3 linked regions of the Neurospora crassa OR74A genome follow. The protein of the gene in region 1 interacts with the protein of each later gene in a pairwise test. Links are inferred from orthologs where the notes say so. Each region holds a gene or a part of one and is shown on either strand. Other genes may lie near its edges. The genes, in order: NCU02510, eat-2 and NCU04115.

Region 1 (3,757 bases):
TCTTAGGCTTCTTGGACTCCTTGGACCTGTGGGCGGGCTTTGTGCCAGTCTTCTTCACCTCCTTGACCTCTTTCTTGGCGCCCTTGACTGCGACAGTGTTGGAGCCGGATGTCTTGGGCTGCTTCTTGACAATCTTCTGCTTCTTGGATCTTCTAGTGTCGACTTCGGTCGTGGTTTCGTCAAAGGGAATGCCCTTCTTGCGCTTGAGGTTGGCGAAGTGCTCCTCCGAGAGGGGCTCAGGAGGGCCCTGTTTCTGCATGCGACGTCCGACACCCATTTTGATGGTATTGCTGGTCGTCTGGTGGTGATTGGGATGTTGTTGGGGTTGGTTTGAACACTGATAGCCCACCATCGACAGGCGCTTGTGGATATTTCTCCGGGTCGATTTTCTTTTCTGAAAAAGCTTATCGATAGCAATGCCAAGTCTCTTTCCTCAAATCGGGTTCCACCTCACTGCGGTCCCAAAAGGTGAGCCATTGGTCAGTGCCCCACATTAGTCAAGCTGGGCCAAGTTCGGAATCCCTGTAGCAACAGCTGACGCTACCCCTGGAGCTGGGCTGTTCTGGAGTAGGGAACAGCTGCCCCTGGAGCCCGGCATGAACGGCGCCCCCGGAGGCAGGCGGCCTGGAGGTATAAGGTACCTAGAGGTAGGAAATGGAAGGACCGTCTGACGGACCTCGCAGGAGAGGCGATCAATGCGGGCAAAGGAAAGTAGAAGGATGACGGGATGAGGGCGGGCAACCTGGACCGGGCGGACAGCTTGAAGCGAAGGGGGCAGGCAGGCCTCCCGGGCAGGCGCCTGCCGCCTGGTCTAGGCGCACCCGACGCAGGGGGAAGCACTGAATGGAGCCGGCGCCGGTGGGCGGTGGACGCCCCGGCCGCGAGGTCCCGTGTTAACACATCACTCAAAAGCAGGCAGGTAACCTGAGAGGTACTAGAGGTACCTTCCGTCTGCGCTGAACAGTTGCGGCATGTACAAACACACTGGACAGCTGGAGAGGCATCTCACCTCAGCACCTTCCATCTTTCCTGCTGTATCTTTCATCTCTCACGGTACTAACTTCCCGTAACAAACGACGTCTCCTCTTGCTGCTTTGCATCCTTCAACAACCGCGATTCTTCTCTATTCTTTCTGCTGGAGCATTGAAGTGAGGTGACATCGAGGTACCTGCTCGCCTTTACTTTACGTATCTGTAACTGAGCGGCAAATCGCGACTCACCTCTCACCCACAGTTTGGCGGCGGGTTTTACTGCGTACCTGCCTTCTGGACCTTGCGTTAATCCTTCCACCTCCAACCTCCTACCTACCTCTACCTACCTGATTCATCCGTCCTCTTTCCCCCTCCCCATTTCTCGGGAGCTCGGTCATTTTCCCCCCAAAGTACAACCAACCACCACCACCACCGCCTCCTTTCACGTCGCCGCCATTCCATTCAGTCCACGGAGCTTCACGAGCCTCCATTTCCCCAATCTTTCTACTTCCCAGCGGATTCACCTTCCAGCCGCTTTTGATAAGTTGGCTGCTAATCTTCGTCACTCTGCGCGCAGCTTAGCGCAACACCACCGCCCATCATGGCTCAGGCCCTACCCATCAAATTCCAGGAGCTGCTGCAACTCAGCGCCCTCGGCATCAACCAGACTGCCATCACTTTCAATACCTGTGTACGTTGTCCTCACCTTGCTCTGACTCTGCTAGTGACAGTTGTCGCGCCTCCTCTGGCACCCCTGCTGACGTGAACCCCCCGCTCCCAGACTCTAGAATCGGACAACTGGGTGTGTATTCGCGACAAGAAGGACGAGGCAGCGTCCCCTGAAGTCATCATCGTCGATCTCAAGAACGGCAATAATGTTATCCGACGTCCCATCAAGGCCGACAGTGCCATAATGCACTGGACGCGCCAAGTAATTGCCCTCAAGGCCCAGGCGCGCACACTCCAGATTTTCGACCTCGAAAACAAGGCCAAGCTCAAGTCGACAAACATGAGCGAGGATGTCTTGTTCTGGAAGTGGGTTAGCGAGACCACGCTTGGCTTGATCACAGATGGCTCTGTTTACCATTGGGATGTCTTCGACCCGAACCAGCCCGCTCCGGTCAAGGTCTTCGATCGTAATGCTAATCTCCAGGGCAACCAAATAATTAATTATCGGACCAGCGCCGACGGAAAGTGGATGGTTGTTGTCGGTATCTCACAACAGCAGGGCCGCGTTGTTGGCGCCATGCAGCTCTATTCCAAAGACCGCGGTATCAGCCAGGCTATTGAGGGTCATGCCGCTGCTTTTGGCACCCTCCGACTAGAGGGCGCCCCGGAGGACACCAAGGTGTTTACCTTTGCGGTCCGCACCGCCGTCGGCGCGAAGCTCCACATTGTCGAGGTCGACCATCCCGAAACAAACCCCGTCTTCCCCAAGAAGGCCGTGGACGTCTTCTTCCCTCCCGAGGCCAGCAATGACTTCCCCGTCGCCCTCCAGGTTTCGCAAAAGTACGGCATCATCTACCTTATCACCAAGTACGGTTTCATCCACCTCTACGACCTCGAGACTGCCACATGTATCTTCATGAACCGCATCTCAAGCGATACTATCTTCACTGCTTGCGGTGACAAGGATTCGACCGGCGTCATTGGCATCAACCGCAAGGGACAGGTTCTCTTCGTCAGCGCCGATGAGAACACAATCGTTCCTTACGTCCTTGAGGCACACGGCAATGAGCTCGCTATCAAGTTGGCTTCTCGTGCAGGGCTCCCAGGCGCCGATAACCTCTACCAGCAACGCTTCGAGCAACTCTTCAGCAATGGCAACTACCAAGAGGCCGCCAAGGTGGCTGCCAACTCTCCTCGAGGTTTCCTTCGCACTCCTCAGACCATCGAGCGCTTCAAGCGTCTTCCACAGCAGCCTGGACAGATGTCGCATATCTTGCAGTACTTTGGTATGCTTCTAGACAAGGGTTCGCTGAACGAGCATGAGACCATTGAGCTTGCCCAACCCGTTCTCGCTCAGAACCGCAAACAGCTATTGCAGAAGTGGCTCAGCGAGAACAAGCTCGAGTGCTCTGAGAGACTTGGTGACATGGTCCGGCCCCACGACATTAACATGGCGCTTGCCATCTATTTGAAGGCCAACGCTCCTCACAAGGTTGTTGCTGGGTTTGCCGAGACTGGCCAGTTTGAGAAGATTCTGCCCTACTGCGGTCAAGCCAACTACCAGCCTGACTTTATTCAGCTTCTCCACCACATTGTCCGTGTCAATGCTGAGAAGGGTGCCGAGTTTGCCACGACGCTTGCCAATCACGAAGGCGGCCCGCTGGTCGACTTCGAGAAGGTGGTTGACATCTTCCAGTCTCAAGGAATGATCCAGCAAGCAACTGCTTTCCTTCTTGACGCTCTGAAGGATAACAAGCCCGAGCATGCCCACCTTCAGACTCGTCTATTGGAGATGAACCTCGTCAACGCCCCCCAGGTTGCTGACGCCATTCTTGGCAACGACATGTTCTCCCACTTTGACAAGGCGCACATTGCGAACCTCTGCGAGCAAGCAGGTCTTTTGCAGAAGGCCCTGGAGCTCTATGAGGATCCTGCGTCCATCAAGCGGGTTATTGTCAACATCCCTGGAATGCCTAACTACAACCCCGAGTGGTTGATTGAGTATTTCAAGGCGCTGTCTGTTGAGCAATCGCTTGACTGCCTGGACGCCATGATGAAGCACAATATTCGCCAGAATCTCCAGACTGTCGTTCAAGTCGCAACCAAGTATGCGGAGC
Region 2 (2,170 bases), about 690 kb from region 1:
TACATCTCTTCTTATTGTACAGCTCATGGACATCACAACCATCTGCCCGCAGCAAACACCAGCGGATCCAATACTTGGCACTGGTACATCCAATTACCCGTCATCCAAGCTATTGGTTGGTACGACAACGACGACTCCGCAGGAGCACTTTAATAGCATAACAACGTGAACGCCAACCGACCGGAGAGGGAAGCAGGAGAGTGTGATGGTTCGACTTTAGCTTGGCCTGCCAGAATGGGAAGAACTAGGAAATGCAAGTCAAGAGGGAGACAGAGACCAGACTTTCAAGCTGACGTGGGGAACGAAAAGAAAAAGAGAAAACAGCATAATGGACCAGGCGATAGGAAGGAAACGGAACTTGAACTCCCTCCACCAGAGATTTTCTCGTTCTGAATCTTGCTGCACGAACGAAAGCAGCCACCGATGACGAGACAACGAACGGGCTGCGACAAAAAAGCGAAGAGAGGGAGTGAAATGGGCCGTATAAGCAGACGTAGGGAAATTGGACAGCCGAGGGCTGAAGGACTGACGTGACAGGGGAAGGGGAAGAGGAGGCGGAAAAGGGGTGATATTCAGCAGCACAAAGCACGAAATTTGGTCGCCTACTCACTCTTGACGTATCTGGTAAACTTTCTGGCAGACCGACCGATCGAGCGAGCAGCGAGCAGCGAACGCGAAAATCGAAACCACAAAAAAAGGATGTACATCGCCATAAAAGAAACACGACGGATGCCAGCAGTATGACAGCGGGAGTGGCGGTTTGCCTGTGTTACCAAACACCCGCGCGAAGAGCGAACGGAACATATCCGAGGCCGAAGTTACGACGGCCAATTGACGACTTCAGTGGATGAAAAAGAACAAGGTGGATGAAACTGAGTTTAACACTAACACCTGATGACTCCCAAAGGAATTCGAGCTAGGTACAGAGGGGGTAGTTGAAATATAAAACATCTGATGAAGATTTTGGAAGACGCTGCGGGACGAAAACAGAATGAGGGAGGGGATCTGGTCGGATGCATGTGCCCACGCTGCGCATTGAAGCGTAAAGCCAGCGAGATGAATGAAGCCACCGAGTATACTACCTCAACAACCCCATGTGTTGCGGGACAATCAGTCCTCATCCTGTTGGTACGAAATCTTGCGCATCTCGCCAAGTCTGTGGCGAGCAGCATTCAATGCGTTTTCGAGTTGAAGGATTTCGACCTGTGATGGGGAGAGAATGAATTGGTCAGCAATGAACCATAATAGGCAAGACCAAGGGTACCGGAAATGAAAGAGGAAGGAAATCTCGAAGGAATCACGTACCTGTTGCTCCATCTCGCGCACCTTGAACTCGTGCGACCCAAGCTTGCTGTAGTCCACTTGCTCATCCTCGGCACTGCGGTCCTTGATCATGCTCTGGACTTGTCTGACGAGCGCACGGCAGGCGGCACCGACAGCCTTGCTGGCCTCCTCCAGGCTCTCCTGGTTCTTGCTCATGAAGCCGGCCTTCACACGGCTGGCAGCCACGAGCTGGGCGGTGGAGGCCGCAACATTATTAGATGCAACGATGAGCTGCTCAGGGCTGTTGCGGTTGGAAAGAACACCGTCAGCAGTCTCGATGAGAGTGCTGGTAGAGTTGGCAACAGCCTTGGCGGCGGAAATAAGACCCTCGGTCCATCTGTTGTTCTTCTTGTAAAAGGCGGTGCGCGAAGACGAGCCACGACCAGCTTGCACAATCTCCTGCTGTGTAGCGGTGGCAGCCTTGATGAGCTGCGCGATAGCGGTGGTAATGGCCATGGCGGCATCGAGGATTGAGTCGTGGACCTTGAGTTCGTAGGTAGTATATCCATCGCGAGGTTTGTTCTTGAGCTTCTGCAAACGGGCAACGGCAGCAGCAATGGCATCGGCTGCCCTGCTGAGTTCTTGATCGACGATGTCGCCAAGGTCACCCTTGTTAGCGAGCTGGCCAAAGCCAGGAGCGAAGGTCTCGACAAGCTTGTTCAGCTTTTGCAGGTTGATCTGGACATCGTTATTGCTGTTGATGACAACGTCGGTCTTCTGAAGTGGATCCATGCCCTCAAGGCGGAAGCTCAACAGACCACGGAAGAACTTGACTGTCGAATGGGCAGATGAACGAGCACCGTTGATCAAAGAGTCTCCCTTCTTCTCGTCAGTAGCGAGGCGAACG
Region 3 (2,784 bases), on another chromosome or scaffold:
AGTGCAGAGAGCTTAGAGAGCACAGCATCCTCGTTATACGCCATGGTGAAGCTTTAGGCGAAATTTGTTGGAAAGTGTTGGAAAAAGTGGTTGTTGATGGTTGGTTGGTTGGTGGGTGTGATGGACGGGGCAGATGTTCAAGATATGCGGTGTCGGGTTTATTCAGAACTCATCTACAGCAGTACGAAAAGGTATCCGTGATGTTTGCGTGTAAGTAGCAGGGACTCCAGACGCGGCCGAGTGGTGATCTAGAATATGGATCGAAAGCCCTTGGGAACAACCTCAAATGGCAGAAGCGTGGACTATCAACACAACACACTAGATGACGGCAAGAGAGAAGTGCTCAGCACGAACTAAGCACCTAGTCAAGCTCTGTGGTCCAACTACACCGGAGTCGTTTCCCTGCTATTACCAATGCTGTCACCAGGAAGAGTTTGCAGTGCAAAGCGCAAATGAGCGTGATCTGGATGCTCTGTGACAAACAACTGAAACCACAGCGAGGTGAGTGCTGAATGTTGTTGATGAAAGGAAGAAGAAGAAGAAGAAAAAGAAGAAGAAGGAAGAAAGAAGTTGTCGACGGGAGGTGGTGGGACGGAACGAAGCAGACGTTGGAGCTTCCTCCATCCGTCCAATGCGAGGGCAGGCAGGGGAAGAGGGACAACGGAACGCCTGCCGCACGCAGACAATGGAGTTGCCTGCCGGTACCTAAAGGTAGCTGTTACTACCTCTACGGCTTCCCCTGGCCAAATGGAGAGGCCCAAGAGGGTCGCTGTTACTGTGGACAAGTGCCAAAGTGCCCCAGTGGCCGCTGTGAGTGGCGTCCCGTCGCAACCTGGAACCTGGCGCGATCAGGAGCGCTGGGGTGGGCTGCAACTCGGACTCCCGCAGTGCAACACCAACACCAAAAGACACTTCCATCAAACAACGAAACACCTTGCCTGTTTCGCAGCTTTCTTCGATCCTCCGTCCTACCCAATATTTCCGTTTTTCAGTCCACTTCTCCAGCCTCCAGTCTTGTCCGTTCGCGCCGATCTACCAAAAGTCAAATCACACCACCCACATCATGGCTGACAGATTCCCCTCGCTGGAGGAGTTCGACTCCGGCGGTAAGCTTGGCGTTGTTTGGAGATCCCCTTACCTTGCTGTTACTGCCTGCTAACATTCAAACCCCCACAAAAGCCCAGACCGAGATCAAGGAGGGTTCTGGAAGCCCCTCGGCCTCCAACTTCCTCGAGCGCGAAAAGGCGCTTCTCGGCGACGATGCCAACCAATTTGCGACAGTTGAGGATGCTGGTTTCGACGATGACAACGACCTCCTAGGGGGTGGCCTTGACTCCTCCGCTGGCGCCGGCGCTGGCCTTGAGACTAGCGCTGCTTTCGAGAGCCAGTTCCCCGACCTTTCCGCAGGCAACGAGGTACGACTAAATAATGATGATACCAAAGATGTCGACACAGCACGTAATCATGGTCTTGGGTTCTAACATGGGGCATCTTCACTTTAGTCTGTTGCGCCAGGCGGTACCATCACTGGCGCCGGTCCTTCCGTCACCTACAACTCTGGATATGCGCCATACGCCCAGGAGGAGCAAGAGCCCGAGGTGATCAGAGAGTGGCGCGAGAAGCGTGATGCGAAGCTTGCCAAGCGGGCGGAGCAGTTCGCCGCCCAGAGAGCCGAGACCATCGCGGAGGCGCAGAAGAACATTGACGAATTCTACGAGAACTACAACAACAAGAAGGAGAAGGCCATTGGGCAGACCCGCAAGGAGGCCGAGGAGTTCCTTGCCAGCCGCGAGGACACCACATCGGGAGGCACGAGCTGGGAGCGCATTGCCAAGCTGGTTGACGTTAGCGGCAAGGGAGCTAAGGGCGGTGCTGCTGGTTCCGGCAAGGAGCGTTTCCGTGAGCTCCTGATAAGCCTAAAGAAGGACGAAAAGGCCCCCGGTGCCTCGGGGATTTAAAGCGCTTACTTGATCTGCCCCCATGACAAAGGGAACGCCTGGTTACCACTATTCACAGGTTTCACACCTCCATGGCCACTACTGCCCCATGGCCAAAAAGCCATAATTTTGTAATGATAGAAAAGACTTGACAGCTGCAGCCATCAGTGTTTGGAGCTTGGTAATCGAAGCGCCGAGACCCAATGGATCACGATTTCCACGGTTACAGTAGCTCTCCCAAAGGTGGTCGGTGGAATCCATGATGCAAATAGGGAATATCGGCGTGGCGGCCTACTTCTTGGAGGTATCACCCAAAGCGGCCTGCCCTCTGCCGCCATCTATGCTGCTCTTTGCGACTATACACATATTCAAAGGGATTCTCGTGCTTCTATCATGACCAGTAGCACCGCCTTCGTTGACTATCGTGGTAGGACGGCTAATTTAATCCTCCGAGAACCAGGTGTTGTAGCCGAGAACCTTGCGGGACATGGCGTACATGGAAGCTGATGTACAGTTAGCGGAAGGAGCAAGGACGAAGCGATAAGCCATCAATGAAGGTATACGCACCGCCGAAGGTACCCCACATGGCAATGTTGAAGGTGGTCATGATGATGCCGCTGCGAGGGCCCTGTTCGCGATTTTGTCATCAGCCCTTATCCCGACAAAACCTCCCTCTCCGTCTCTCCCTCTCCTCCTTCCCATCTGTTGATTCCCCAACCATCCTCAAGTGTCGACTTCAACTCACAATCTTCCAGAGGCGGGTGTGGTTCTTGAAGGCCTGCTGGTAGTAGCGCTGCTTCTCGGGGACGTGGTTGGGGGCGTTGACGAGGCCGCTGCAGTCGGGGAA

The links.
Region 2: the proteins of NCU02510 (region 1) and eat-2 interact in a two-hybrid assay, tested with the Saccharomyces cerevisiae proteins (2 studies listed by BioGRID, with this or other methods). The link is inferred for Neurospora crassa OR74A from reciprocal best matches to the Saccharomyces cerevisiae genes CHC1 and SLA2.
Region 3: the proteins of NCU02510 (region 1) and NCU04115 interact in binary tests that used the Saccharomyces cerevisiae proteins (3 or more experiments, as listed by UniProt). The link is inferred for Neurospora crassa OR74A from reciprocal best matches to the Saccharomyces cerevisiae genes CHC1 and CLC1.

The regions. Positions count from the first base shown.
Region 1 is NC_026501.1:2,562,694-2,566,450, reverse strand, and holds the start of NCU02510 (clathrin heavy chain), read left to right. Parts: upstream 1-972; 5' UTR 973-1,572; coding exon 1,573-1,662; intron 1,663-1,752; coding exon 1,753-3,757. Other genes in the region: NCU02511 (S-adenosylmethionine-dependent methyltransferase superfamily domain-containing protein), read right to left, coding at 1-352. UniProt on the Saccharomyces cerevisiae protein: Clathrin is the major protein of the polyhedral coat of coated pits and vesicles. In yeast, it is involved in the retention of proteins in an intracellular membrane compartment, presumably the trans-Golgi.
Region 2 is NC_026501.1:1,867,987-1,870,156, forward strand, and holds the end of eat-2 (cytoskeleton assembly control protein Sla2), read right to left. Parts: coding exon 1,306-2,170; intron 1,204-1,305; coding exon 1,111-1,203; 3' UTR 566-1,110; downstream 1-565. UniProt on the Saccharomyces cerevisiae protein: Required for cellular morphogenesis and polarization of the cortical cytoskeleton. It might act in concert with proteins such as CDC42 and CDC43 to limit the region of cortical patch formation to the cortex of the bud.
Region 3 is NC_026505.1:4,896,485-4,899,268, reverse strand, and holds NCU04115 (clathrin light chain), read left to right. Parts: upstream 1-812; 5' UTR 813-1,063; coding exon 1,064-1,106; intron 1,107-1,179; coding exon 1,180-1,415; intron 1,416-1,502; coding exon 1,503-1,958; 3' UTR 1,959-2,162; downstream 2,163-2,784. Other genes in the region: NCU04116 (DUF618 domain-containing protein), read right to left, coding at 1-44; NCU04114 (hypothetical protein), read right to left, coding at 2,379-2,440, 2,505-2,565, 2,683-2,770. UniProt on the Saccharomyces cerevisiae protein: Clathrin is the major protein of the polyhedral coat of coated pits and vesicles. In yeast, it is involved in the retention of proteins in an intracellular membrane compartment, presumably the trans-Golgi. The yeast light chain is important for cell growth.